Mus musculus: one gene and its partners. The protein of the gene in region 4 purifies or fractionates together with the protein of the main gene of each other region. This does not show direct contact. Links are inferred from orthologs where the notes say so. Each region holds a gene or a part of one and is shown on either strand. Other genes may lie near its edges.

Region 1 (4,106 bases), on a different chromosome or scaffold from region 4:
TTCTTCAGCCCAAGTTGGTCTCCTTTCTCTGTTATGTAAGAGGGACATTAGCACATCAACCCAAAAAGTGCATCTTTCAGCAAATCTATGCAGCCCCAATTCCTGACACATTTAATTGATTTCTCGAGCTCAATTGAAGAAATAAGAGCAGGCAATCTAGACTCTCCCAGCTCTAATGGCATGCAAGCTCTGTACACTCCTGCAGTATGCTTTCACATGACACAGAGGCTTGTTTCTTATAAATACAATTGATAGATGCTAAAGAGCTGGGCAGTGGTGGCGCACGCCTTTAATCCCAGGACTTGGGAGGCAGAGGCAAGCAGGTTTCTGAGTTTGAGGCCAGCCTGGTCTACAGAGTGAGTTCCAGGACAGCCAGGGCTACACAGAGAAAAAAACCCTGTCTCGAAAAAACAAAAACAAAACAAAACAAAACAAAAAAAAAAAAAAAGAAAAAGAAAAAAAGATGCTAAAGGCTTTCATATGAAGATAATTAAGACCCAAAGGACTTGTGATTGATTTCACTCAAGCCACAGAAGAGAGGACAGAGCTGGTAGGGAAAGCCTTGGTAGAGATGGAGGTCCTAGTATCCTAGCTCAATCTCTGGACCTGATGAAATTAACCCAGCAAGTGCCTACACTGTTCCACCAATCATCCAGCCTACTAGCACTCAGGCCTCCCTGTCCATATTTACACTGAAGCCAACAGTTGCCTCCAGGGGGCACTGAGCTACAGTCAGGACAAAGGCAATGTGATGCGGGCAGCAGACTTCTGCAGCTCTTAGCTTAATGTGCTAAGTCATTTCTTTTTGACAATTAGAAATTTTCTGGATCTTCTTCTTTTTTTTTTTTTTCTTTTTCTTTTTTTGGTTTTTCTCTGTATAGTCCTGGTTGTCCTGGAACTCACTTTGTAGAACAGGCTGGCCTCAAACTCAGAAATCCGCCTGCCTCTGCCTCCTGAGTGCTGGGATTAAAGGCGTGTACCACCACGCCCGGCTTCTGGATCTTCTTTAACTGTAATATGTCAGAGTTTTACTGTATGATTCCATTCTGAAGAAGTATTTTCCACTTGGGTCTGGTTTCATTTGAATATAATATAGACAGATAACGAAAAGGTTTATGTTACACAAATGCTGTTTAACTAATATCTAGGTGTGACTACATCTTTAAACAATAGTGTGTTTTTTGTTGTTGTTTTTTTTTTTCAGGACAGGATCTCTCATAACCTAGGCTAGCCCTAGGTATAACCTAAACCCCTGTCCTCCTGACTCCATCTTACTCAAGTGCTGGGATTACAGGTTAAAGCCTATGATTCTTTTTCTTTTTTGTGTCACTAGGATAAAACCCAGGGCCTTGCATATGCTAGGCAAGTAGTCCTCCATTAACTACATCCCTAGCTTTCACTTTTTTTAAATTTACAACTTTTGGGCTGGTAAAATGGCTCTGTGGATGAAGACTCAAGCAAATTTCTGGGTTTCATCCCTGGAAAAACTACATGGTAGGAGGAGAAAACAGATTTCTCTAGGTTGTCCTCTGACTTTCACACCTACTCCATAGAATGCATGCACACAAACAGACACAGAAAGAATCAAAAACTTTTAAATAGTAAATTTTTTTAGGAAACAAAAACAAACACATACACACACACAACAACAACAACAACTGTGAGGCCTGGAGAGATGGCTCAATAGTTAAGAGCCCTGGCTCTTCCAGAGGATCTAGGTTAAATCTCAAGCTCCCACATGGCTGCTCACAACCATCTCCGCCTTCAATTCCAAGGGGTCTGGATGACCTTTTCTGGCCCTGTGGGCACTATATGCACGGGTACATGAACAAACATGCAGACAAAACACTAAAACAATATACATAAAATATAACTGAATAAATCTTACAGAACCCAGTACCTATTATCATCACAAGAGATGTTGTCAAAGAAGGACTTGGTCTTGTCATAGTAGCAGTTGGGCCCAAGGGGATCTTCCTCATCAGCATTCCCTTCACTGTTCTGAGTGTCGACTCCTGAGTCTCCTTTGTCTTCACCGTTTACAGGTTTCTCTTGTTTCTCAAGTTTATCTTCTAAGGAAAAACATGCAAGTTAAGACTTTACACATCTAAGTTGTAAACCATCTTTAACTCAAAGATCAAGTTAATCATTTTTGAGTAGAAAAATAAAATTTACCTTTCAGTTTAAGTTTATTATGAAACTCTCTGTCAATTTCCTCCTTGTTAAATTGTGCATTTGCACTTTCAAAGTCAAAGTCTTTCTCAAATTTCATTGGACCATCTCGACGGATACCAAATCTTCCCCTGCCACCTCGATGACCCCCACGTCCTCTTCTTGGAGCAGAAGGAACTCCAGGAACTATATTAATAAAGAATATTTATAATAACATTCAGTATGTATTAGCTCGTTTAGAATAACACTGTGGTCTTTGTATGAAATGATCTATAACATAAATGTTTAAACTCTATTTGTACAGTATAGATGTATTTTTATACAAATAAGAAATGGGGATGGAGCCGAGCGGTGGTGGCGCACGCCTCTAATCCCAGCACTCGAGAGGCAGAGGCAGGCGGATTTCTGAGTTCGAGGCCAGCCTGGTCTACAAAGTGAGTTCCAGGACAGCCAGAGCTACACAGAGAAATCCTGTAAAAAAAAAAAAGAAAAAAGAAAAAAGAAAAAAAGAAATGGGGGTGGGTTAGAGAGAGGGTTTGTGATTAAGGACATCGGCTGTTCTTGCAGAGAACCTGGGTTTAATTCTCAGCACTCACATGGTGGCTCACATTCAAAACTCCAGTTCTAGGGAGTGAATGATGCCTTCTTCTGACTCTGCTAAAACCAGGCACTTGCTCTACGCATACAAATATGCAGGCAAAACATGCATTTTTTTTAAAGAAAAAAAAATCTTAAAACAACAATCCCCAAGAAGATTGCTTAGCGGATAAAGTTGCTACGGTCAAGCCTGATAATCCCAGTATAATCTCTCGGACCCATATGGTGGAAAGAGAACTGACTTCCACAGCTGTCCACTGACCTCCATATTGATAGTGTGCACATTGGCACATATACACAAATTAAAAACAAAACAAAGCACTCCTGCAAATCTTCTAACCTCTACAGGTGCAATATAGCACACATATGCCCATACGCATAAATAAACACACACACACACACACACACACACACACATACACACACACACACACACAGAGAACAAAAAGAATTAAGTTGCTAAAAGTTAGTATGCACATGAAAAACAGCATAGATTTTATGTAACTTTAATATAACTTTTATAGTTGTTTTTATGAAGAGCACAACAAATAGATGTATAATCAACAGATTTGAGGCCTTCTCCACTATATTTACCCAGGCTCTAGAAAGCTCTGTTCTTCTTTCTGCCCTATTCCCTCAAACCCAAGTGCCAGGTTCTTTGTGGAATGGGTAACAGGAAACAAGATGTACAATAAAAATGTAAGTGAACACTAATCAGCACAGACAGCAAGGTAGGGAGGTGTTTCTTACAATTCAGATAAAACAACAGAGAAGCACCAGTCCTTACTGGCTCTAAGAACTTCCTGCTTTCAGTTTTTCCCTCTACCTGGTTCCATGTATTCAGGTTCCTGAATCTATGTGTTCTCTTTCTATAACACCACCACAGGATTCCAGCCAATCATCTGAGATATAATAAACAGCATAAAGTAGAAAAATTCATAGTGAAAACTTGTGACCCCACATATCCAACACATGTGTGTCTAAGAGTAAAATAACCCAGAATCTGGAGTAGTTCTTGGTGTGACTTTAACTTAAAAACATGCAGAAAACAAAGCAGGATTAATTTCATGAAGTACAAATTGAATAGTTATATGAATTTTGTAATATACAGACAAAAAAAACAGAAGTGACTACAGAGTAACAGGCTTGTGCTCATTGTTTGGTGAGGATGGCAAACTGCCTGAGTTTGAGGATAAACCCACCTAGCAGCACGTCCAGACATATCTAGGTAAGCAGGTATTTTTGTTTGTTTTTTGTCTTTTCGAGACAGGGTTTCTCTGTGTAGCCCTGGCTGTCCTGGAACTCACTTTGTAAACCAGGCTGGTCTCGAACTCAGA
Region 2 (4,106 bases), on a different chromosome or scaffold from region 4:
GGGTAGCACCAGAGGACAACCACTCCTACTACTTTGGGTTTTATGATGCCACTCACATTCCTGTGTGCCCAGCCTAAAGCTGTCATTGATTTGCTGGAACATAGCCTGGCAACTCTTCTCAAAAGCTGGCAGTACCACACTCTGGAAGGCTTCCCGGTAGGCAGCCTGCATTGGTCCCTGTAACGTGTCTGCAGCTGCTCGGGCAATGGCATCTGTTAAGTTCTAAAATATAGAGAGGGGTCAAGTTGAAAGCCTGAGCCCAACCTGGCCTGTCTAGCTACACTTCCCCCAACCTGGATCCTACATCACCTTGGACTTGAGTAGCTTAGAGATATTCTCTTTCATGCTGCCTTCCACAGCTGTAAGCTTGGTAGCCACTGAGTTGCTTAGTTGACCTGCAACAGGCTCCAGACTTCTGGAGACACCTAGGAGAGGCAGGTGGATGAACCAGAAGTTTGAAAAAGCCCTACACTCACCCAGCCCACTTGAAAGAAAGCTCATGGAAAACTCACATGGAGGAACCGTTTTCTTGATTTCATCCCTTACGCTGCGCTCTAGCCGCCCAGCCACAGCTGAAGACAATGCCTGGGATAGCTGCTGTGTCAGCTGCTCCTGCAGCTGCCCACCCCGTTGCTGCCCCTCAGCCAGTGCCCGTTCCAGCCGCCGTTCTGTGGTGGAGCTAAGGAACAGGCCTACAACAGGACCTACGCCTTTCCTAGGCAAGAATGCTACCGCATCTTACTACCATGCTGTGCCACTACCCCAAGGATACGCTCCTGCTCATGCCGCGTCTCCAGGGCACGCTCTACATGGTCTGTGACAGTACTCTGAAGACCTTCAAGCTGGGCACAGAGACGCTGTAGCAGTTCTTCTTGGTTGTGCCATAGCTCTGCCAGCTCTCTTTGCTGCTGCCAAATTAGTGCTGGCCAGTCTTCAGGGGGCTCTGCCACCTGCCAGAAGCACTGACAACTTACACAATGTCTATCCTGTCTATCTCCACCCCCTCCCGCCCCAAAAAAGAAATAGCTCAAAGTGTGTCCCCCCCCCACCTTGGGATGGGGTCCCATAGGTAGAAGGTCCTCCCTTACATACCTGGTGCTCTGTGAGCCGGGATCCCACAGCTGAATCCCTACATAGGCAAAAAAGCATTGCAGGTCACATCAGGCAGCTTAGGAGACCACCCCTGGCCCTGGTCCCAGAAGCCTCCTATCCTCCTACCCATCATCCTTCTTGCTTTTTCTCTTGAGCTTAGGTGACGTCCGAGGGGATCCCTTCGTCTTCCAATCCTTGGAAGGCAGCCGTGGAGTAGGAATTTTGCTGCCAAAACCTCCTGAGGCAGAGGCAAGGCTGGCAACCTCATCATCATGGTCACTGTGGAAGGGGAAGAGCCTGCTCACCTGCTGTCCCCCTACTAATGGCTCTCCTTCACAGAGGAGCACATAGACCCAGGTGGCGCTCACCTTTGCTCAGCACTTGTGTCCTGACTGTCACGTTGCTGCAGCAAGTGATAAGGTGGCCTGTGGAAAGCCAGACTTTTGTGCTTTTCCTGGAGGCCATTCCTGGGGCTAAGGAAATACACTGGCTCAGGAGTGGCTAATCCTAATGTCCCTCCCACCCCAAGCATAATTTTCCCCTTCTAAGCTTCTCACCTTTCTGTCAGTGTGCTACAGGTCTCACGAGTAATGTCAGGTGCCGTAGGCCAGACTTGACTGTCAGGGGTTGCAACTTCCTGGGTCAGGGCTGCTTCCAGCAGGGAAGGGGTACTATGCCTATCCCCATCTCCAGGGCCTCCATCCAGACCCAGCTGAGAGCCAAGCTCAGGGCCTTGCCTGGGCCGAGGAGAGAGTAGGTGTAGTGCTGAGGCAGCTGAGGCCATGCTGTCTGGCTCAATGAGGCCCTCAGGAACAGAGGAGCCAAAGCCACGGGACAGGGCCTCAGATGCGATTTCAGGAATGTCCTGGGACAGGGCAGTGGATGCTGAGGAGATCACATCAGGAGAACGGGTTCGACTTGGGGAGGCCTGGGGTAGCCCTAATGGCTCCACTTCCTGCAAATCCAAGGACAGTGCAGAGGCAGCAGTGGATACCTGAGAAGGGCAAAGACAAAGGCTTAAGTAACAGGGGCTAAGGGGCGCAAAAACAAGTCACTGGGATCTGCAGTGACGGCCATAATGTAGCAGGAAAGAGAGATGCAGTTGGAAAGTAGGGCCACAGCTCACGAGAGATGGCAATGAGAGGCCGCTCTAACCTTTGGGGAAATGTCACACTTCCAAGGCCCATCAGGGTCAGCAGAAAAATATGCAGGAATAGAGTGCTCCAATCTTTCCCATCGACCTACACCTGCTGCTACCCAGTACTTTATACTCATGCATATCCCCACACACATACCCTCCCCTTCCTCCCTTCCTCCCCCCACCCCCCACCCCCCAACACACCTGACCAGGTCCCTTGGAAATCAACTTGTCAGCTGGGCCTGGGAGCAGGCCCGGAAGGAGGCTTCGAGGGCTTGCCTGCAGGCTGCTGCTGCTGCTGTTTAGCGTCAGGCTGCCATCTAGCTGCAGCTTGGGGCTCAAGGTCAGCTCCTCAGGTGGTCTACTGGCAGAAAGGTAAAGCATTAGCAATTGTAATCCATCTCAGACTGGCACTAGACCCAATTCTGATTTTTATCTTACCTGGGCAAGGAAGGGTCCATGGCTGAGGAGCTGCTCACAGCAGACACAGCTGTTAGAGAGCTGCTGCTGCTGCTGCTGCTGCTACTGCTGCTGCTGCTACTGCTGCTGCTACTACTAGGGGATGCAGAGATCTGGGAAAATCCAGAGAATAAGCACGAAGGTCAGCTAATGGGACACTACCAGAGCTCTCTCCACTGAGGAAGGAAGTACCTGCTGCAGGGAGGCAGTAGGTGTCATGAAAGCATCAGGTGTCATCAACTTGGGCTTGGTCTCACTGCTCAGACTGAGGAAGTCTGCAGGAGCAGGCAGTTCCACAATGCGCCGCAGGTCAGGCTGGGAACCATGAGCAGCTGAAGCTAGCCCCTCGGAGCCTAGTTCAGGTCGAGACTCTCCAAATGCTGCTGGGAAAGCTGCCTAGTCAGGTCTCCAAGCCACAGCAGTGGAACCTGTCTCCCTCCTGTTCCCTTACTCACTGAAGTCCTCGTGGGCAGTGTGGGTAGAGAGTGGGGCCACCACATCAGGGTTCAGCTGTGGCTGGAAGCGGATCTGCACATCTTGTAGTGCCCTAAAGAGCAGCAAAGGGGAGAAGAGAATACTCAAAAAGGCCAGGGCCATAGGGTAGGGGGAACATAGACAGGACATGGCAGGCCTGCCTGACACTCACTTAGTGTGCACACAAAAGAGCTTGATAAGCACACCAGCTGCGGATTCCAAGGCTCCAGCTCCATGGGAACTCTCTGAAAGGACAGTGTGGATCATTAAGGCCTTGGCCTGCTCTGTGCCTGGACACTTCCCACATACCAACGTATAATCCTGCCCCTGGGCAACTCACCGGTCCCCAGACTGTCATTCTCCTCCTCAGCAGGCAGGACCTCAGTGTGCCGTAGCCGGCAGCGACTGACAACCTGGATGCCAAAGCTCAGCACAGGGTGGGTGAGCAGGAACTCAGAGATAGAACTAAAGCACGCGCGGCCCTCGTCCTGGTTCTGCAGCAGCTCCATCACATAGAGGACCTGCATGAGCAACACACTCCTAACTCAACGGAGGCTATGTCACATAGCCCTGCCCTGCCCAGCAACACCAGCTCTTTCCAGCGTACCACCATAGCAGCCTACCTTTCGTTGCACATCACTAAGAATCAAATACTCTGCTGAGAGGTCCAAACAAACTTTGAGGCTGGGAGGCACACTCACTGAGCTGAAGATATCTGGGGAGAAGCTAGGAAGCCAAGAAGCAGACCAAGTAAGTAAGACTGAGAATTCAAAGAAGCTATATCCCCGGTCTACCTCCCTCATTCTAGTTTACCGAATGGTTTGCAGGCAGGTCCAGGACACTGTGCACCACATCTTCAGCTCTCGATTCTGGTCGGCGCCGGTTATGAGGAACCTCCAGAACGGGACCCTGAAAAGCAACAGGCACTGACTGGTTACCAGCT
Region 3 (4,795 bases), on a different chromosome or scaffold from region 4:
TGGGTGGTGCCCACAACGTACCTTCGCTAGCCCACCACAGTGACCTGTGATCCCAGGACTCAGGAAGCAGAGACAGGAAGATGAGTTTGAGACCAGCCTGTTTATAGCCCAGGGAGGGAGGGGCGGCGCGATTCCCTGTATTCTACGCACACAAACATGTCCTCTGGAATGAGTCGAAGGATGTAAAGGGGAAAGGGACAGCTGACAAGACCGGGACATTGACAAGCGCAGGAGAAACAAAATCCTTTGACACCTTGCTTTCAGGTTTGTAAAATTAGTCCACGGTAGAAACTTTTTTTTAAATTGTGTGATAACAGTTCATAAAATTTTTTAAAAGTGGGGGGGGGGAAGAAGAGAAACATTTTTATCATTCTGGCAGCCCCAGCCTCTTTACTTGTAAAGAATAAAACCAATGGTGTTGACAGAGAAACTCAAAAGTTACAAAATGTTGCTTCTTCAGAATGTGTAAGTCAAAGCTTTTACATCTTTTTTCTTGAACACTTATTTAAATTCCCCCACAAGCTACTGGAGGGTGGGGGAAAGATTTCCCACAAGTGCTCAGCCACCGGCTGTGCGTTCCAGCTGTTGGCAGAGCTTTCCCTGCGGCACACACAGGCCGCCAGGCTGCAGTGGTACCCTCAGACAAAACTGTGAATTGGGGAGAATGAGGGTGGGGGCAGGGCTAACCGCTGCCACCGGAGGCCACAGCAATGATCAAAGACTCAGTCCTGATTGGCAACTCTCAACCCAGTTTCCAGAGTCACAGAGGTTATTTTGTAGCAAATACTCCTGGGCTCTAGAATGCAGGAGCACCGCCTTGCAGGAGGCAAAGCTCCTCCCAGACAGTTTAAGATCCTTGGGTGGGGGGGACCCCACCCAGAACCCACTATCTAGGAAGTTTCAGTATGGGTAGTTAATTTACCTTCCCGAAACCACTAACCAACCCCAATAGCACAGGAAGGAAAAGAAAAAAACCCTATGAGGTTCTAAACCTTGGCCCCCAATGTTACTAACCTCACACATCTAACAGTATTTGTGACAGACACAATAAGAACCCACGGTGAATTCTATTTTTAAAGTTAATTTACTATTTACTTCCCATCAAGCTCAGAAACAGCAAAAGTCTGTCGCTTTTCTATAATTCAGATCCAATGGTCTTCCATTCTCCTAAACTTGGAAATATGATGGAGTCTCTTTGAAGAGATGGGGGCGGGGGGATTCCTTGTAAACAGAATTAAAAGCCTTGATATGTACAATAAAATGGAGCTGCACTCCAGGCTTGCAATTACAGACACTGGCCCACCTGAAACTTGAGTTCCTTCCCAGTCTGCCATTAGCCAAGAATTATCCTACAGGCATCTCTTTTCTCACCCAAGGCCTTCTTGGTTAGAGGGGACTGTCTCCCTCTTAGGCCACAATGCGGAGGCCCACGCAGCAGCCATCTTCAAAGCTGCCAGTGACCAAAATGAACCGGTTGCTACCGCATTCTCTCTTTTTTTTAAAGGCAACAAAGCTCCCCTTGCAGAACACACAGTAGGCTCTTACTTCCACCCTAGCAAAGAGCTCACTGGTCTAATCCACACCAAACCAGTACTTCCAACAGCGGGTCAAGGTCAAAGGGACTGGGAACCACTTCTAGAGGGGAGTGCTCAAACAGGTTGCCCTAATGCTTGCTGGCTCCCGGATGTTAAACCTCTCTGAGCCTCCACTGTCCAGCGTCTTCAAGAAAGACCCACTGTGGCAAGCTGAAGGGATCAATCAACACGCGAAATTGACGAAAGCCTGGCCTCGTCCCCGAGGAAGTCACTAGAAATTGACACATTGGGAAAACGTACAAATTTGGAGCTAAGATTTGCTGGGTTCCTCCACAGCGCTGAGCTGGGGGGTGGGGGTGGGGGGGGGGTTCCCAATCTGGCAGGAGGCTGCCGCTGGCCATTTCGCAGGGACCTCCAGGCCCCAACATCTGTCCCTAGGACCCGGGCACCTCCCAAGCGCAAGGTTAAAAGGGTCTTCAAATCGTTGGGAAGCCTTTTAACGCATTTACAAGTTGGTCAGTGGGCATTCGAGGAGCCCTGTGACATCAGGAGCGGAGGCGCACTAGGCTCCGGAGCAGGCACCATAGGGAACCCGGGAGGATCTGGGAGGCTTCCAGACCCCACAGTGAAGAAGTCTGGGGAGGCCCCAGGGCCGAACCACTAGGTCAGGTGGGCAGCAGGGAGGGCCCGCGGGCGCCAAGTACAGCCTGGCGGACAAAGGGGTGCAGGCTGAGCCCGAGCAAGCGGCGGGGCAGCCGGGAAATGGAGCCACGTGCCTGGCGGGAGAAGGCGAAAAAGCCTCCCCAACACTTGTTTTCTCAACCCCGCGAGTAAACCGCCCTCCGCTCGGCTCCAGGAGCGGGGTGGGGAAATGCGTCCGTGTTTTTAAGTTTTCTGGAACTTTTCCAGAGAAACGGGCACGCTGGTGGGAAAGGGGTGCCACGGCGGCCACCCGCTCCGCTAGGAAATCGCAGGGCGATTAGCACTTGAATGGGGAGGGCGGCTGCCCGGCGTGAAACTGCGTCCAAGCGACCGATCGCGGTCCCGGGGCCCCGTGGTTCGGTTCCCGACCCGTCCAGCTCCCCGCCCCAGGCCCGCCGTGCTGGGCCCCACAGCTATGCGCTCGGGAACGGCGGGAGGAGCGCTGCGGGAGGACGGAGACCCGTTGCAGGCCGAGCCTGGGCCCCCGCACACGTCCCGGTGGCGCTGCTCGGGTGCACTGGGCCTCCCGGCCCCGAGGCCCTGCCCGGCCGCCCCGAGGCTACGCCGCGGCCCCACAGGCCCCGCCGCCCTCGCCTGCCCCGCCCGCCAACCGCCAACCGCCGCGGCACGAGTGCCGGGCGCCGCGCGGACTCACCGGGGCCGGCTCCCGAGTACATGGTGGCGTTGCCGAGGGCCGCGGCCGAGGGCCGGCCGCGCGCTCCACGGGCCCCGACGCCGCGAGCCGCGAGGAGCCGCCGGCCGCTCGATCCGCCCCGGCGCGGCCGCCTCGCAGAACAGGTTTACCCGACGCGGCCGGGGCGGCGGGCGGAGGCGGCGGGAGCGGAGGGGGAGGGGAGCGGGAGGAGGGAGGGGAGGAGGAGGGGCGAGAGGGACGACGAGGGAGGGGACGGCGGGGAGGGAGGGAAGGAGGGGACAGCGGGGAGGGAGGAGGCGGGGAGGAGGGAAGGTGGCAGGGAGAGAGGGGGGCAGGGGAGGAGGCTGGAGGCGGCGCGCGCCGGCGGGATGGGGGGGGGGGGACTCGCTGTGGCGGCCCCCCGCGTGCTTGCCCTGAATGAGGGACCCCAGAAGCGACCCAGGGCACGCGAGCCGAGACCTTCCCTGCGGCCGAGCGAGGCGACGTCTGGTTTCCGGGCGCGGCCAGCCCGGCACTGCGACCAGAGTCGGAGTCCTCCCGCGCCGAGTGGCAGAGCCTCGGCCGCGTCCCGCCACGCACCCGCCCCTGCACCTCGGCCTGGCTCTTTAAGTTATTAACGAAACGGCGACGGGAAGCTAGCTCCCCACCCAGAGCTTGAACTTGGACGCGGCCAGACCCGTGCGCGTGACCACACCGCCACCTCCCGGCGCGACTCCACAACCTAGATAATCCTAGCAAAGCACCAAGGAAGCCCAGCAAGTTCAGGATTAAATTTTATCAGCTGTCAGGGAGCAGATCTGGTCGGGGCTTCCCGCTTTCTGGCCTCCGAGCCCCCAAGTTCTGCTCTGAGGCCTGCTAGACCAGCATGCTCTGTGCACGTATGTCCCTTCTTCACTTGTTGCTGGCGTGTGCTCCTAGTCCTGTCCAGCTGCCTCTGGAACCTTTCTATAGAAGAGGCGGGTGTGTCAGCTCCTGCCTCGCCCTGCAGGCTTTGCAATGTCTTCAAAGCCCATACTGAGAACCCAGGCCAAAGACAAACAGGGTCCTACTGCAGGGACCCCAGGATCGGGGTAGGCTCCATATTCTGTGTAGTGCTCAAAGATAGTCCCAGGAACAAGAAAAGCAGCTCTCCTTCCAATAAAGGAGGAGGAGGAGGAAACTAGACACAGCATTGCAGGGCTGCCATTCCAGCTAGCCAGAAGTCGAGGGAGGCGGATGGCAACCGTAAATCTAGTCTAGGATACATAGAAGAAAGACTTGCCCCCACCCCTCTCCCAAGTGATTGACACAAATGGGTAATCAATCATACCTAGCCCTTGCGGTACCAATACTTTGGTACTTTAGGGATGGAGACAGGATTTGCTGAACTCAGGAGTCATCTTGGCTCAGAACCAGTCAGGGTAACACAGAACTAATGGGGATGCGGTGAGGTGGGGGGGGGGGGGAGGTGGTGTTCGGCGGGAGGCGGTGTTAGACTTCACTCAGCAGTGGAGCACTGACGTTGGGTCTGCTCCCAGCACTGACATCCTACCCCCAAAGTCATGAAGTCGTTTTGGGGAACATGAAGTAGGTAAATTGCCAGGCATCAAGAAGCCCTGGGTTCAACGCCACCAAAAATATATATATATCTCTGCGCATGATTACACACGTGTTTCTGAGCACAGGGAAGCCTGGGTACTGTGGGCCTTGCTGCTCATCACAGGGATCACAGCGAAGATGGACACCGTGCGCGCTCCCTCTAGAGTGGAGTGAGAAAGACAGTAGAGTGTGTCTGCAGATGGGATCCAGTCAGTGTTGCTAAGTGCAGCGGTGTGCTTGGCCCTGAGCCAACAGGCCAACATCAGCCTGGCGGTGTGACTCCCATTATTGTGAGGGTTCCCATGCATCCAGCTCTGCTTCCAGA
Region 4 (4,106 bases):
AGTGCACTGCCTCAATACACTTTTCTCCAGGGTAAGTAGTGGGCTTTTGTGCTGAGTCCTGTCCTTCACTAATTCCTAGCAAGTTGGACAATTAGATCATTTTCCCTTTCCTTTCCTTTCCTTTCCTTTCCTTTCCTTTCCTTTCCTTTCCTTTCCTTTCCTTTCCTTTCCTTTCCTTTCCATTCCTCTTCTCTTTTTTTCTTTCTTTCTTTCTCTTTCTTTCTTTCTTTCTTTCTTTCTCTTTCTCTCTCTCTCTCTCTTTCTCTCTTTTTAATTTTATTTTTGACTTTATTTTCACTGTAAAAAATCTTACTGTTTTGTAAAAAGTAGCTTTAATTGGCTTACAGTTGAAACTGATTGACACAGGTGCTTTATATTGTTAAATAATTTACTGTAATTACAGTTCATCCTTTGTGAATACTAATTGCTAAAATTTATTTGTGACCCCCAAATTAGTACTGAAGGTTTTGGTTATTCTTAGACATATACATTGTGGACTTAAAAAAAAAAATGATCCCAGCTAAGGTCCAAGAAGAGGACAGACATTCTGTCTTCTTGTTTTACTTATAAATGCTACAATTGTTTTTCAAATTTTGGTGCTGTTCATCATTCATTCCAAAATGACGGCCTCGCTGCTGCCGACGTGCTTACCTGTGTTCTGAAGCACAGGGGGACTGATGTGTACTACACAGGGAAAACATGTACTGGGTAAACCTCCTGCAGGCACGGGTTATATTGGTTAGGACTATAGACATACTAAATAAGACATGCTCAAAGAAAACACATAAATTGGCATGTTTACCAATTTATAAAATGTCACCAGAGGCTCACAAGTACTTGTCATTTTCTCTAGAAACAGTGTTGTTTTAACTTGTTTGTTTTCTTTATTTTAATGAGTCTGTGTCTGTGTGGGGTTGTACGCATATGAGTGCAGTTTCTGGAAGCATCCAGAAAAGGGTGTTAGAGCGCCCGAAGGAGAGTTACAGGTAGTTGGGGCCCACACTGTGTGAACTGAACTGAACTTGGGTCTTGTTGAATAACAGTGTGTGCTATTCACTGCAGAGCCATCTCTGTAGCCTCAAAGCAGTGGTTCTTATTTGCTGAGTCAGTGTTAGCAGCGGTGTATTGTAGGACATTACTGTGTTGTCTCTGCAAGTTAGGTGGCCCTTATGAGATAATCTTCTCTAGGTCGACAAATTTTCATCTGAAAGCTTGGCTAGATATTTTCATGATTGGATAAACAGATGCTTCTGTCTTTCTCATCTTTCTCATCTTCTGTGCTTAGCTTCAGATAAACCAGTCCATCATTTTCTGCAACTCCTCCCAGAGAGTCGAGCTACTCGCCAAGAAGATTTCTCAGCTGGGCTACTCTTGCTTTTATATCCATGCTAAAATGAGGCAGGTAAGGATAATTTCGAGAACTTGCATAGATTTAATAAAGAAATATTTTCCTAAGTATTTCTTATATTTTCTTTTGTTATAATGTTGTATAAATGCCTTGTGTGTGAGAGTAAACTGTTGTCTTAAGGTAGGTACTGCTGTATTAGTGGTAGAGCAGTGTTCCAGAAAAAGAACAAATGAACGGACTATTTAGTAGACAAAGAGACCTTCACTTAAACCAATAGGTTTAAAAAGCAGTCCAGAAATGTCAGATCTTGGGGCTGGAGAGATGGCTCAGTGGTTAAGAGCACTGACTGTTCTTCAGAAGGTCCTGAGTTCAAATCCCAGCAACCACATGGTGGCTCACAACCATCTGTAGTGAGATCTGACGCCCTCTTCTGGTGTGTCTAAAGACAGCTACGGTGTACTTAGACATTATTATTAATAATAATAGTAATAATAATAATAAATCTTTAAAAAAAAGAAATGTCAGATTGTCCATGAAGTCCTAGCATTTAAAGTAAGTGAAAAGCTCAGAGTCATTATCTGTTCCATACTAAGTTTGAAATCAGCCTGAGTGACATGAAATCCTGTGGGGAGGGAAGGGCACAGGAGACATTCTTTTGGGGGGAATTTCTAAATTTGTTCTGTTTAGTGCAATAACTTTATTACATAGCTCCATGTACCCATTAGACTAGGTAAAAGCAAATACAATTGAAAGGTTTGTTACTTAGTCAAATCCCTGAGGCTGGTGACTCCATTATTGGAGAATACCAGTGCAATTTTTTTTTTTTTTTTTTTTTTTTTTTTTTTTTACAGAATGCACTGCTCTAGATTTTAATATACAGTAACTCCTCCTTACAAAGGAGAGTTCTGAGATCCCATATCGGATACCTAAAATCATAGACAGTACCAGATTGTATGTGCATGCTTGCTATGATGCAGTTTATACATTGGATATGGTAAAACGTTCACTAGGATAATAAAATAGAATAAATATGACACTATATTTGTCATAAATGTTACGTGACTATGATCGCAGCATGGCTTATTATGCCTGTCCTTTTTGATAGAATGCTTGTATGATGGAATGAAGTGTATCATACAGACATTGAGTGATACAGCTCTAGACTGCTACAGAAGCATAGGTAGTTGTGTAAACAAATTTGGGGTTGAAGAACTGATTGGGTAAGAGAAACCATGATGAAAATTTTGAGTTGTCTATAAATTTTACTCAGTTTTTATATATCCCCCTACCCTCCAGGAACATCGAAATCGTGTCTTTCATGATTTCCGAAATGGCTTATGCCGCAATCTTGTTTGCACTGGTAAGTGTTTTTGTATTTCTTGGACCTACTGTTTTCTTAATTGGCTGGTTGGTTTTTTTGTTGTTGTTGTTGTTGGTTTTTTTGTCACATAGTGAAACCTATGTGACAGCTCCTTACACCCTGCTGCCACTTTGACAGCTTCTGAAGACAGGGGTGCCTGCTGTTTAGTTCCTAGGTTGAGAGCAGGTGCTATTCAGTGCCTGACCTTGGGTTCCTCCTAGTGCTCATGCTGCACACGTGGCTCTAAATTAGGTTTTGCATTTATGTGCTTTCTGAACAGTTCTAACATACAAGGTGAGCAAACACAAAATAAACTTTACTCGAAATTACATTTTAGAAGTTGTGTCTATTTGATTTTTTTTTTTCCCAGAATCACATTATTCTATACCGTAAGCCAAGATTTTCTAATTTTTGGTTGTTCTATTACTACAGAAAAATAAGCCTGGGTAGGGAGGGGGAGACACAAATTTAGCTCAGAAACTAATAGAATGGTGCCTTCGCACCTATGTACTTAGAATTTAATCTTACTATTAGTGTGAGAAGAAGAATCATTTGAGGAAGTAGAAGGACTTGGAGTTTGAACTATAATGTATATATTGGTAAATTGCTCATCTTTATTTTTCATGTGAATTTTCACATACGCATGTACCTATACATTCAGATAAAATTGTATTTAAGAAGTTTTGGTTGGCTGGTTGGTTTTGTTTGTTTTTGAGACAGGATACTACTATATAGCTCTTACTGGCCTGGAAATTGGATATGTAGAGCAGACTGGTCTTAAGCTCACTTCTTTTGTTAGCTGGCCTTGGCCGCTTAAGTGCTGAGATTAGAGGTGTGCAGCACCACACCTGACACAATTATATACATAATATATATATACATTAAAAGATTTATTTTAATTTGTGTCTGTGTCTATTCTGTGTCTACCACGCTTGCACAACAGGTGCCTGCGGAGGCCAGAAGAGGGCATTGTATCCCCTGGAACTGGAGTTCTCAGGCAGTTGTGAGCCTGTTGATATGGGTGCTGGAGATGAACGCACATCTTCTGGAAAGAGCAGCAAGTGCTCATGTCCAAGGAGCCATCTCTTTAGCCACCTATTTTAAAATATAGTCAGGATTTTTGGGAAAATGCACATAAACAAAACACTTGTTACTGCTACCAGATATTAAATTTGGTTATTCCTAGTAATCAGGAAGTAACTGTAAAAATAACTTTATGGAGGCAGTCATATTATTGAGTGGTTAGCTTTTTAAAGTTGTGTTTAAATATTTAGCTGTGTATAGATATTTTTTTTTTGGACATTTGGGAAACCTATAAAATAGCTTACTAGTGAAAGTAAAGTTGTTAGTCAAATTGAATATTCATAAGAAAATTGAGACTCTTGCTATCAGGCACCT
Region 5 (4,106 bases), on a different chromosome or scaffold from region 4:
AGGCCAGGGGATTTTGATTTTCTATTTCGTAGTCCTTTGAGAGAAACACTAAAGCACCTTGACTACTGGTGTCTGCTTTTTGCAGGTCACCTATATGACTGGGGTCCAAGGATAAGGCTCCACTCTCAGTAGTCCCAGGTTTTAGAATGTGACCCAGAACTTGAGGACTAGTCCGTTTTTCCAGCTCATAAGCCTTGGGAAACACAGGATGCTCAGTTCCTGAGGGAATTATTTCAGCACCCTGTGAAACCAAAGTGGCAGGATATTCTCCTTGAAATGTCACTTCCATCACTTTATGATCTGATGACTTTCCAATAACAGTCTCTGGGCCAGCACTGGGCTCATTTATAAATGATAAACCCCATTGATTCTGGAAGATATCCCCCAGGTTTTGCTGATCTGTCTGAGAGGGCAGATCTACTTGTGCACTTAACAGCACTGTTTGCATATTTGAAGGGTAGATAAAAAGGCTAGATTTAATTTGTTCAACGGCTGCTGAAGCCAGACTCATGTCCTGAAGAACAGAATCAGTCCCAGTAGAGATGGGTGTTAAAGTATTAGCAGCAGTCGTTAGCAGTGGCTGACCCCCAGATGGGTACACACTTCCATCAGTTCCTGCTAAAACAGGCCCATTAGAAAAACTGGCAGAAGTAACAGATTTCAGAGCTGACATCGGGACCTGGGATAACCGACTTGAAGACTGGGTCTGAGTTTCCCCAGTAGATGATGATGATGAAGATGAAGATGGTGACACGGAGGAGTTCTGTACAGTTTTGTTGAGGTTTTCCTTAACTTTGCTTGCATAACTTATTTTAGGAACTATTTTTGCACTGCTATTGTCCACTGGAAAAACTGGGGGTGGCTTAAACAAGGTCCATGAGTCCTCTTTGGAGGCAGCAGCTGAGGCATGCTTTCCTTTAGGCCGATCATCAAATTTTTTGCTACTCAAACCAGGTTTAATATCAGAGCTTTTACGAAGCACGTCACCCATAGCAGGTTTTCCACGACTTGTTCCTCCAGGTCCAGTTTCATATTTCCAAATAGGCTTTGAACCATCTACTCGCATTCCCTTTTGTTCACTATAGTCAGGCTTTAAAGTTTCAAGTCCCTGTTTTAATGCTGGGACACTAGTCTCTTGCATTATTTTGTCCTGCACTAAATTAAGGTTTTCACAACCCTTGGCACTATTGCGCCTAGCTTTCCTTTTTTTAGGAGTGGTATATCCACTCTCAGATCCACTACCATCATTATCTGCTCCTTTGCTCATATAACCATTAGTAATATAGCCTGAACTACTTGTTATAACACCATTTGGAATTGCTATGGTATCGGTCTTATCTACAGCCTGGGTCTCTCCAGATTTGTTTTCATAAGACTTCCCATTCTTTTTGTCCATACTGTTTTTCTGAATAAAATTCTTGGTTTTGATTCCTGCTTTTCCAAAGGTGCTGGTCTTTACAGTCTGCTTCAGGCTTGTTTCTACAACTTGCTGGTTGCCATTAAGGACCCTGGAAATAGGGTTGGTAGCTTCATCAGAACTGAGGCTCTTTAAAGATATTTCTCTTTCTCCAGCATTACCGTTTATTTCACCATAGCCTATAGAAGGAAAACAAAAACAAACAAAACACATACATTTAAATCACAGTAGTACTAAGACCAAACAACTTTACTGAACCCAATACTAAGCTGTATTGTAGGGTTTGTTGTATCTTATCTTTATGTAAAGAAACTTTATGTAAAGAAACTTTTACAGATTATGATACAGGGTTCAATGTCTAGGCAGAGGCAGACCTAGGACACAACTCATATCAGGTCCATCTTCTGGGCCAGTAGCCAGAATTAACTAGAAAGATCAGGACCTTTCAAGCAGCATGCCATAATCTCCTCTAAATTATCTAAACAGAATAAACCTTATGAATTATATCAATGAGTCTGCTAGAAAAACTGAAGCAAGATGATTATTGCATGATTGAAGCCTTCCTGAGCTACAGGGTGGAACCCTGTCTCACACACTATTTAGAATCAGTGCTACTTCAGATACAATAACCTGTAAAAGGAAAATAAAAATAAGGCTGTGGCCTTTGTCTCCCTTGTATGACCACTGAACTCAATCCCTAGTACTGAACCTCCCTGTACCCCCAAAGAGTATACTGAGGGCTAAAAGTGACTAGTTGCCAATGAATTTCAGACAAAGCCATAAGACCTGTGGACTTTTCCTCTTCTGGGATGACTAAAGATAGCTACAGTGTACTTACATATAATACAGAAACCTTAAAAACAAACAAACAAACAAAAAACCCAGCATACCATAAAACATGAAACAAAAATATGTAGTAACCCTTAAGACTCATTCTCAGCCAGGCCTCTTTATGCACGCCTTTAATCCCAGCACTTGGGAGTCAGAAGCAGGTGGATTTCTGAGTTCAAAGCCAGCCTGGGCTACAGAGTGAGTTCCAGGACAGCCAGGGCTACACAGAGAAACCCTGTCTTGGGGAAAAAAAAAAAAAAAAAAAAGACTCATTCTCTTACTTTTAGCTTCTACTTGGTTGTTAAAGCACCAGGAGAGAAAATGTTAACATCCAGGTCACAGAGTAACAGAACTAGGAATCTGTCTAGGACACATAATTTCCTACCTGCTTCCAACACTTTCATGCTCACAAAACTACAATGAAATGAATTTAGTATCCTAAAGCAGTCAAGTACTTGAACATAGACTTCTTTTTACAACTAACATTTGTTTTGTTTTGTTTTTAAGAAAATCATGTTTTTCTGTGTAGCCCTGACTGTGCTGGAATGCAAAATCACTGAGCTCAGAGATCCTCCTGCTTCTGCCTCCCAAGTGCTGGGATTAAAGGCGTGTGCCACCACTGATCAGCTTACAATTAATTATCTCTTATTAGAAGTGATTTACTGGGGGGCTGGAGAGATGGCTCAGCGGTTAAGAGCACTGACTGCTCTTCCAAAAGTCCTGAGTTCAAATCCCAGAAAACACATGGTGGCTCACAACCATCTGTAATGAGATCTGACTCCCTCTTTTGGAGTTGTCAGAAGACAACTACAGTGTTCTTACATAGAATAAATAAATAAATCTTTTTTAAAAAGTGATTTACTGGTTAAATCACAGCTTTCTACTCACTAATAAAATAGCAATTAGTTTTATCAATTGTTTTATGACCTCAAAAGACCTTTGGGAAACCCTCAATTCTAACAATAATCAAACAACAAATACTTTTCTTCTGTATGAACTTCCAGAAAAGAACACAGTTGCACAAAAACCAACTATAGACAATATTTTTTGTTTGTTTGACATAGGATTTCTGTGTACCCCTAGCCACCCTGGAACTCACTGAGTTTTGCCTGCCTCTGCCTCCCAATACTGGAATTAAAGATGTGTGCAGCCACTGCCCTGCATCAGAAACAAACATACTGCCATGTATCAAGTTCAATTCTCAACCCTTAGTAGTTAGGAAAAAATTAATTCCATATTCCCAGCATTACATTACCATTTTTCTAAAAACTGACAAAAATAGTATGTGGTTTTGTTTTCTATAACATTTTCTTTTAAAAAATGCAAAATGTTAAGCCAAGTCTAGATATGTATCCCTGAAATTTTGTCTCAAACAAAAACAAAAATTAGGGGCAGGGAGACCCAAATCAATAGATTTGCCTGGACCAAAGGCAACCAAGGAAAGAACTACTTTACCATCTACTATAAGTTAAGCAATACCTGTATCTTCTGGCTCATTAATCATAATTATATATATATATATGTGTATATATATATATATATATATATATATATATACATACATATATATATATTAAAAGGTGGGCAAGCCGGGTGTGGTGGCACATGCCTTTAATCCCAGCACTTAGGTGAGGCAGAAGCAGGTGGATTTCTGAGTTCGAGGCCAGCCTGGTCTACAGAGTGAGTTCCAGGACAGCCAGGGCTATACAGAAGCCCTGTCTCTGAAAATTAAGAAAACAAACAAACAAACAAACAAAAATTCACTTAACTACATATTTGTCTCCCTATGGCCTTGACATGCACTAAGTATGATAAGTACCTTTTAAAGCTTAGATATTTAAGAAAAATGTGAAGATGG
Region 6 (4,106 bases), on a different chromosome or scaffold from region 4:
TCTTATATTTAGTTACAGCCAAGCTCTACATCTGAATCTATGGATCAACTACTAAGCAAAAATAGAGAAGGAGAAAAGTCACGAGATTTGATTAAAGATAAAACGGAAGCAAGTGCTAAGGATAGTTTCATTGACAGCAGCAGCAGCAGCAGCAACTGTACCAGTGGCAGCAGCAAGACCAACAGCCCTAGCATCTCCCCTTCCATGCTTAGTAATGCAGAGCACAAGAGGGGGCCTGAGGTCACATCCCAAGGGGTGCAGACTTCCAGCCCAGCCTGCAAACAAGAGAAGGATGACAGAGAAGAGAAGAAAGACACAACAGAGTGAGTAACCTGGGTCTCAGCACATGCTCTCTCCGAGTAACCTGCTTTAAGGGGTTTTCTGTTCCATAGTAACTGTTACATAGAGCTGGGGTTAGAAATCTGAGCTGAATCTAGTCATTGGGTTCTTAGCATTCTTCCCATTCTGACTTGTTTGCAGCTGTGGGGGTAAGAAAAGCTACTTCTATGGAGATAAGAGTTTAAATTTGAATGCCCTGTCTCGGGGTTCTGGTTCTGCCTAACCCTGCAGTCTGCAAGGACTATTTGCTGCCCCAGTTGAGGAAATGTTTAGTTGATAAGCACATCTTTATAAACCTTATTTCTGTGCATCTGGCATTTAAAAGCACTTAAATAGATAAACTAGTGGGTTAGCCTCAGACATAATCACCACTCCCTTTTTGTGTTCTGGATAACAAAAAAAAAAACTAATTGTACTTGAACTATTTATTCTTGATTTGCAGAAAAATAATTTTACTAGAGCAATGGTAAACCCAAGGCATGTGATTAAAACATTTTGACACATTTAAAATTGCTGCGTATGCTACAGGTGGTGGAAGGGCTTTGTTAACACAGCACTTGGGCATCTGAGGCTGTTGATCCTAAGTTTGAGGCCAGCCTGGATCCATTGCAAGGCCTAATCTTTAAAAAAAAAAAAAAATTAGAACTACTGTGAACTCATTAAGCATTGGTGTTTTATCTGCCTGTCTGTCTGTACACCACACACTTGCTGTACCTTCAGAGGCCAAAAGAGGGTGTCAGATGCCTGAAACTGTAGTTATAGATAGATGGATTAATAAACCCAGTCCTATGGAGTGGCAGCTGTTTAGCTGTCACTTAACCTCATTAGGCACCCTTTTAAGGGGCTGCGACTTACCAGTTGAAATATTCGGTGATTGCTTTTGAGGGATGTGGTTTCTTTGGTTTTCATTTGTTCTCGTATGGTTAGTTTCTTCATCAGATTAAGCAGCAGAGGTGTGTGTTTCAGTAAAGGAGACTGAGACATGGAGAGTTACTCACATCTGCTCTATGTCAGCAATCCTCTGAAAGCTGACGAGTGTGGCGCAGTTGAGAAAGCCGCAGCCCCATGATGTTTCACTGGCCTGCTTGTTGTTTTCTTTCTTTCTTAGGCAGGTTAGGAAATCGACATTGAATCCCAATGCAAAGGAGTTCAACCCTCGTTCTTTCTCTCAGGTAAGCGCTAGCCTTTTACAGCTGGTCTGAAGAGACGTCACTGCGCTCTTCATGGCTTTCTCCTGAGCTCCCATCTGACTGAGCCCAGTTGTAGGACCCTGAGACAGCCTGGCCTCCAGGCTTGTGGGATGTCCCCAAGCTTGTCAGTCCTGCTGTGCCGCTGTGAGGGACAGCTCAGTGTAAGCTCACAACGACTGAGGCTGTCAGGCCAAAGAAGCCCACTCACTAACTACACAAGAGAGTCCATTTCCTCGGGAAGGCATAGGAGAACATGCCTGTATTCTTAGCAAACAGGAGACCGGGGCAAAAGGGTCATGATTTTGTGGTCAGTTTGGGCCACATAGTGAGATCCCCACCCCAAAACACAAAAATGAAAAGAAAAAAATGGATAGACCTTTTCTGGTTCCTTGTAAAATTATTACAATTTTTATATCTTTTTTTCATTGATAAATATTTTAGCTTGATTAGATATGATACAGTGTTGATACCAAATCTGTGTTTATGCCAGCCCTCTAACACTGAGAAATGTCTGCAGCCTAAGTTTTCCCTTTTTTAACCCCTGGAAACTGAATCAACTTCTTACATGCTAGCCTCTGGATGTTTTGTTTGCCTGTTTGTTTGTTTGTTTGTTTTGCTTTGCTTTATCTTTAGAATAAAAAAATGCTAGTTAAAAACAAATAGGCAGAACAATCAGGGAAGCTGCTTTGAATATTGTTTTCATAGATGCTTTTCATCTTGACAGAGTTGATGTTGAATTCTGTTTTTGTTGTTGTTGTTGTTTTGTAGCCAAAGCCTTCTACTACCCCAACGTCACCTCGGCCTCAAGCACAACCCAGCCCATCTATGGTGGGTCATCAGCAGCCAGCTCCAGTGTACACTCAGCCTGTGTGCTTCGCACCCAATATGATGTATCCCGTCCCAGTGAGCCCGGGCGTACAAGTAAGTTCCATGGGTTACAATTTGCTGGACACCATAGCTTGCATTTAGCACAAGTGTCCTAGGTGGGCACTAAGTGGGACACCTGATAGCAAGTAGTGTTAAGAGTGGGCAGTGGGTAGGGGTGGTGTATTGTATCATTAGCATGTGGATCTAAGTTTTAGGATTAATTTTCAGAAAAAAATGACTTACATTTACTATAGGCCAGAGTTGTTCCTTTTAGTTGTGGGTATTAATTTGAATAGCTCACAGGGAATCAAGAAAACACTGGCCAGATCACATTAAAAGACAGTGATAGAATGAATATATTGTTACCATATGAATCTAATGATGTGTTTTCAATTCCCTCAAGCCTTTATACCCAATACCTATGACGCCCATGCCTGTGAACCAAGCCAAGACATATAGAGCAGGTAAAGGTGAGAATAACCCTGCCTGTGTTTGCTTGTGTCTGCATGCTGCATGAGTTTAGCACCTGTGTGCAATGAATAGTTGGCTTCAGCTTGAATTCACAGGGTATGTGTTCACTTGTGATGGCCAACGTGAGTATTCAAGTGATCACATAGTAATCATGTGAGAGAAAAAAATATAAATAAACTTTGTATGTGGTGTGTGGGTATGTGCATGTGTGCACTCAGTATACATGGAGGTTAAAAGAACACTGTAGGAGTTCCTCCTGGTGGGTTCTAGGATCAACCTCAGGTCATCAGATTTGGCCACAAATACCTTTACCTGATGAGCCATCTTGCCAACCCAATAAATGTCCATCCCCATCCCAGTCACCTACACCTTTACCACCCACACTCCACCCTACCCTACCCCCACACAGAGTCTCTCTCTCTCTTACCTTGTAGCCTTGACTAGCTTGGAACTTACTTTATAGACCAGACTTTTGTGGAATTCCTATAAATCTTCCTGCCCCCCCAAGTGCTGGCACTAAAGGTGTGCCCACTACACTCGGCCTTCTTTTTAAAGATGCATTTTGAGGCTGGAGAATTGGATCATTGGTTAAGAGTGCATGCTGCTCTTGCAGAGGACCCAGGCTTGATATCCAGCTCTCACGTGGTGCCTCACGACTTATCTGTAACTAACTCCAGTCCCAGGGAATCCAGTGCCCTCTTCTGGACTCCATGCATACCAGGCATACACACATGTATCAATATACATGCAGGCAAAACACTCATACACATATAAATATCTGTATTTTTTTTCTATATATGAACATTTTGCTAGCGTGTTTGTACTTGTACTGTATGGACACACGGAAGCCAAAAAAAGGCAGCAGAACCCCTGGGACTGGTATCACAGACAGCTGTGAGCTGCCTTGTACATGCTGGGAACCTGAACTCTGATCCTCTGTAAGAACATCAAGTGCCTTAACTGATAATTCTCTCTAGCCTCTGTTTGGTATTTTTTGCCAAAAGAAATAAATTTTAGAAATTTCAAGCTGAAGTCTAAATTGAAATTTTATCAGAATTTTTTTTTTGTTTGTGGTTTATTTGGAATTGTTTTCAGCCATAGTCTCACTGTGTAACCCTCACTGGTCTGGAACTGGCTATGTAGACCAGGTTAACCTCAAACAGCAATCCTAGAGTTAAAGGCGTGCACCACCACACTGGCCGCTCTTTATTGCTGAGAAGATGCTCCTATAGCCAGGCT
Region 7 (2,776 bases), on a different chromosome or scaffold from region 4:
CATCTAAGAGGAAGTCACTGGTCAGGCTTACATTTCAGTGGCAGTTAGGTACATGTGCTGTCTGGCACTGAGGTCACTCTATGGGGCTAATCTTGTCAAGTAAATCCATGACTGACTTGGCAGCAGGCACCTTGCCTGGGAAACACCACAGGAAGCAAGCACTCATCACCTTAAGAGGTTGGGGCATGACAATGTTGCTGACGGTCATGTGTGTGGCACCAGCTCAGCCAATGTAGGCTCACTACTCCCGGAGGGGTCAGGAAGCCCCCTGTGTTCTAGGACAGCTGGGATGAAATCAGCACCACTAGGAGGCAGCACGTCCTCAGGTTAGGACCTTACTTGCTCCCTCAGTGGATGGATGCACTGGTATTCTGGGCAGTGTGACCACTCACCACGTCCTGGTAGCCCCTAAGCTGTCCACGCCCCTTCCAGTCCTGACAATGGGGAGTTGACTGGGTAACCCACAGCTTAGGACACCGAGTGTCTTCAAACAGCCTAACAGGCCCCAGGGAACTAACAATGCTGAGACATGGGGGGCGGGGGGGTGGCTTGGCACCTAGAACAGCTATTTCTCACTGCCCTGTCTTGCCTGCGCCTCCCTGGGGAGACTTGCCTTGCCCGGCCCACACCCTGGAGATGCCTCTGGGGGCCATTTGAGCCCCGGAATACTCTTCTGGGAAAGCATGTTCCTGAAATAAATTCCATTTTGGCATCTTCTCAGGAACAGGAGCATTCCAGGGCTGTTTCCATGATTGAAGGTCAAATGCGACCAGGTCTCTCTTGGGTCCAGCAGCCCTGGCCTGGGCAGCCAAGGAGCCAACAGTGCTCCTCAGAGTCCATAGCATGGCTGAAGAGTGCTAATGCCTTCCAGAGCTCCACGTGGGCAATGTAACTTTACTACCCACCAGACTACTCTGGCGGCCAGGGGCTTACAGACCTGCAAGGCAGCTCTGCGGGCTTCAGGGTAGGACCTGACAGACTGCCATGGAGCCACTTCCAGTGCCACCGCCTTTATTCACAGACCCTCAGTCTCCAAAGCTACAGACACTTGGATTCAAGAGGGCACAAAAAAAGGGGGCCTTGGTAATCCTCCCAGCACACCCCAGAAAGCCAGGACAGGCCTGGCAGCACCACTCCTTCAGGGTCAGCCTTAATGCCCTGTCCAAGGGCACTGCTGTGACCACAACAGTGTCACAGGTACCAGGACACAAGGCCTGGTTGCCCTCAGAGAGCCAGCACTGTCCTAGGCTCAGAGCTGATTCGACTCTGAAAGTGGGGCAAGGAAAGGTCAGGATGGACAGTGGGGGTGGAAGCGGGAGCTCCCCACATGTCCAGGGCAGAAGAAGAGCAAGTCTCCATGGAGAGAGCCACACTGGATGCAGGTGGGACTGCACATGTCCTACTTTCTGGTCATTTCAAGGTTCCAACAGCCGAAGAAACAGAGGTCCCCTTTTTCCTTCCTGACCTTAAGTAGCCAGGAAGGAGAGGGGCAAGGCATGGCAGGTAACAGCAGAGAGGGCTAGATAGGTCGGGCCAGGTGCTACCCAAGATGCAGCTGGCCAGGGGAAAAGGACAGGGGCGGTTACAGCCAGGCCCCTGTTCCCCCAGTGACAGGGGCAACTTGAGACCCTGGAGAGGAAAGGAAGGGCCCTGGTCATCAATCCTGCTGGCTCTGGGATCACGGCCTGCTAGAGCACACTCTTCCCCCCAGGAGCAGCGCCACAGGAACACAGGAAACCACCATCAAGTGCACCTGAGCTTCTGGAGGCCAGGGGAGGGCGCCAGGAGCTCTAGGACTTCTTGGCATCCTGCGTGTTCCGGCGCTTCAGGTCACTCAGGTCGATGGGCTTGAAGGCTGTTGGTGGACAGTCTGGTTGGTGCTGGGAAGAGGACCCCCCCCCCCATCCGCTTCCCACTACTAGAGGCTCCCAAACCCAGGTGCCTTGGAAAGGACACAGTGCAGGCATTCAGCAGAAGCCTGGTCAGCTCCTCCAGGTCGGCCCTACTCACTCTTCAGGCTGGGGTTGGGGACTTTCTCCACATACTCCTCCACTAGGCACCGCTCACCACTGGACAGCTGGCTGCGCAGGTCTCGCTCAACACCCTGCCAGGCTGCAGCAGACAACAGGTTCAGCGCTCAGCAGTACTCAAGCCAACAGAGCATTCTGGTCTCGTGCTAGGTCATGTAGCCCCTGCTCCTACCTGTCTCCCTCTATTAGATGAGAGCTTGTTTTGGTTTGGTTTTGGTTTTGGAGACAGGGTTTCTCTGTTTGTCAGTCTTGTCTGAGACGTTGAATTCTCAGAGATCCACTTGCCTCTGCCTTCTGACCATACTTGGCTACCTGAGGGTGTCTTGGAGAGCCCCAAACTGTCCTCCCTCCTGCGTCAGCTCCTCCTGCCCTTGCTCAGAGGCCAGTCCCTTCTGTGCAATAGTGCCACCCGTTCCCACCTCTCTTACCCACCCTACCTCCCAGCACATTTGTTCAATTCTAACTGTATCACCTCTGTCCACTTTAGTGAAACTATGTTCATAGCTACCTCCTCCCCCAGGAAGCCTCCAGGCCTGAAGACCATCTCCCAGATCCTGCCTCTTCTGGGCTTCCACCCACTCCCCATGCCTTCTTCTTGCGTTGTCACCCCAATGTCCCTCTATCACCAGTCTTGCTGGTTCTAGAGTTTAAGGCCACTGAAGTATGGTCCCCTCCTCACTGAGGGTCTAAAGAGTGGAAGGGTGGTGGGGCATTCACGCACGGCAGGCAGTAGAGCACAGACACCG

What was found.
Region 1: the proteins of Ddx6 (region 4) and Lsm14a purify together in Homo sapiens (affinity purification with mass spectrometry; 4 studies listed by BioGRID and IntAct, with this or other methods). This does not show direct contact. The link is inferred for Mus musculus from reciprocal best matches to the Homo sapiens genes DDX6 and LSM14A.
Region 2: the proteins of Ddx6 (region 4) and Edc4 purify together in Homo sapiens (affinity purification with mass spectrometry; 4 studies listed by BioGRID and IntAct, counting the BioPlex papers as one, with this or other methods). This does not show direct contact. The link is inferred for Mus musculus from reciprocal best matches to the Homo sapiens genes DDX6 and EDC4.
Region 3: the proteins of Ddx6 (region 4) and Ago2 purify together in Homo sapiens (affinity purification with western blotting; 5 studies listed by BioGRID and IntAct, with this or other methods). This does not show direct contact. The link is inferred for Mus musculus from reciprocal best matches to the Homo sapiens genes DDX6 and AGO2.
Region 5: the proteins of Ddx6 (region 4) and Nufip2 purify together in Homo sapiens (affinity purification with mass spectrometry; 6 studies listed by BioGRID and IntAct, counting the BioPlex papers as one, with this or other methods). This does not show direct contact. The link is inferred for Mus musculus from reciprocal best matches to the Homo sapiens genes DDX6 and NUFIP2.
Region 6: the proteins of Ddx6 (region 4) and Atxn2 purify together in Homo sapiens (affinity purification with mass spectrometry; 6 studies listed by BioGRID and IntAct, counting the BioPlex papers as one, with this or other methods). This does not show direct contact. The link is inferred for Mus musculus from reciprocal best matches to the Homo sapiens genes DDX6 and ATXN2.
Region 7: the proteins of Ddx6 (region 4) and Mcrip1 purify together in Homo sapiens (affinity purification with mass spectrometry; 3 studies listed by BioGRID and IntAct, with this or other methods). This does not show direct contact. The link is inferred for Mus musculus from reciprocal best matches to the Homo sapiens genes DDX6 and MCRIP1.

Annotation. Positions count from the first base shown.
Region 1 is NC_000073.6:34,351,490-34,355,595, forward strand, and holds part of Lsm14a (protein LSM14 homolog A), read right to left. Parts: intron 2,359-4,106; coding exon 2,176-2,358; intron 2,073-2,175; coding exon 1,901-2,072; intron 29-1,900; coding exon 1-28. UniProt on the Homo sapiens protein: Essential for formation of P-bodies, cytoplasmic structures that provide storage sites for translationally inactive mRNAs and protect them from degradation. Acts as a repressor of mRNA translation. May play a role in mitotic spindle assembly.
Region 2 is NC_000074.6:105,887,084-105,891,189, reverse strand, and holds part of Edc4 (enhancer of mRNA-decapping protein 4), read right to left. Parts: intron 4,073-4,106; coding exon 3,977-4,072; intron 3,890-3,976; coding exon 3,787-3,889; intron 3,704-3,786; coding exon of another isoform or gene 3,685-3,703; coding exon 3,504-3,684; intron 3,409-3,503; coding exon 3,336-3,408; intron 3,237-3,335; coding exon 3,145-3,236; intron 3,073-3,144; coding exon of another isoform or gene 3,070-3,072; coding exon 2,882-3,069; intron 2,803-2,881; coding exon 2,672-2,802; intron 2,595-2,671; coding exon of another isoform or gene 2,592-2,594; coding exon 2,435-2,591; intron 2,087-2,434; coding exon 1,650-2,086; intron 1,566-1,649; coding exon 1,461-1,565; intron 1,372-1,460; coding exon 1,219-1,371; intron 1,130-1,218; coding exon 1,093-1,129; intron 951-1,092; coding exon 773-950; intron 669-772; coding exon 513-668; intron 426-512; coding exon 310-425; intron 223-309; coding exon 57-222; intron 1-56. UniProt on the Homo sapiens protein: In the process of mRNA degradation, seems to play a role in mRNA decapping. Component of a complex containing DCP2 and DCP1A which functions in decapping of ARE-containing mRNAs. Promotes complex formation between DCP1A and DCP2.
Region 3 is NC_000081.6:73,181,869-73,186,663, forward strand, and holds the start of Ago2 (protein argonaute-2), read right to left. Parts: upstream 3,080-4,795; 5' UTR 2,915-3,079; coding exon 2,893-2,914; intron 1-2,892.
Region 4 is NC_000075.6:44,628,739-44,632,844, forward strand, and holds part of Ddx6 (probable ATP-dependent RNA helicase DDX6), read left to right. Parts: coding exon 1-31; intron 32-1,285; coding exon 1,286-1,402; intron 1,403-2,644; coding exon 2,645-2,708; intron 2,709-4,106.
Region 5 is NC_000077.6:77,689,032-77,693,137, reverse strand, and holds part of Nufip2 (nuclear fragile X mental retardation-interacting protein 2), read right to left. Parts: intron 1,597-4,106; coding exon 1-1,596. UniProt on the Homo sapiens protein: Binds RNA.
Region 6 is NC_000071.6:121,794,926-121,799,031, forward strand, and holds part of Atxn2 (ataxin-2), read left to right. Parts: intron 1-12; coding exon 13-323; intron 324-1,447; coding exon 1,448-1,511; intron 1,512-2,297; coding exon 2,298-2,450; intron 2,451-2,799; coding exon 2,800-2,866; intron 2,867-4,106. UniProt on the Homo sapiens protein: Involved in EGFR trafficking, acting as negative regulator of endocytic EGFR internalization at the plasma membrane.
Region 7 is NC_000077.6:120,541,894-120,544,669, forward strand, and holds the end of Mcrip1 (mapk-regulated corepressor-interacting protein 1), read right to left. Parts: intron 2,113-2,776; coding exon 2,011-2,112; intron 1,856-2,010; coding exon 1,791-1,855; 3' UTR 995-1,790; downstream 1-994. UniProt on the Homo sapiens protein: The phosphorylation status of MCRIP1 functions as a molecular switch to regulate epithelial-mesenchymal transition. Unphosphorylated MCRIP1 binds to and inhibits the transcriptional corepressor CTBP(s).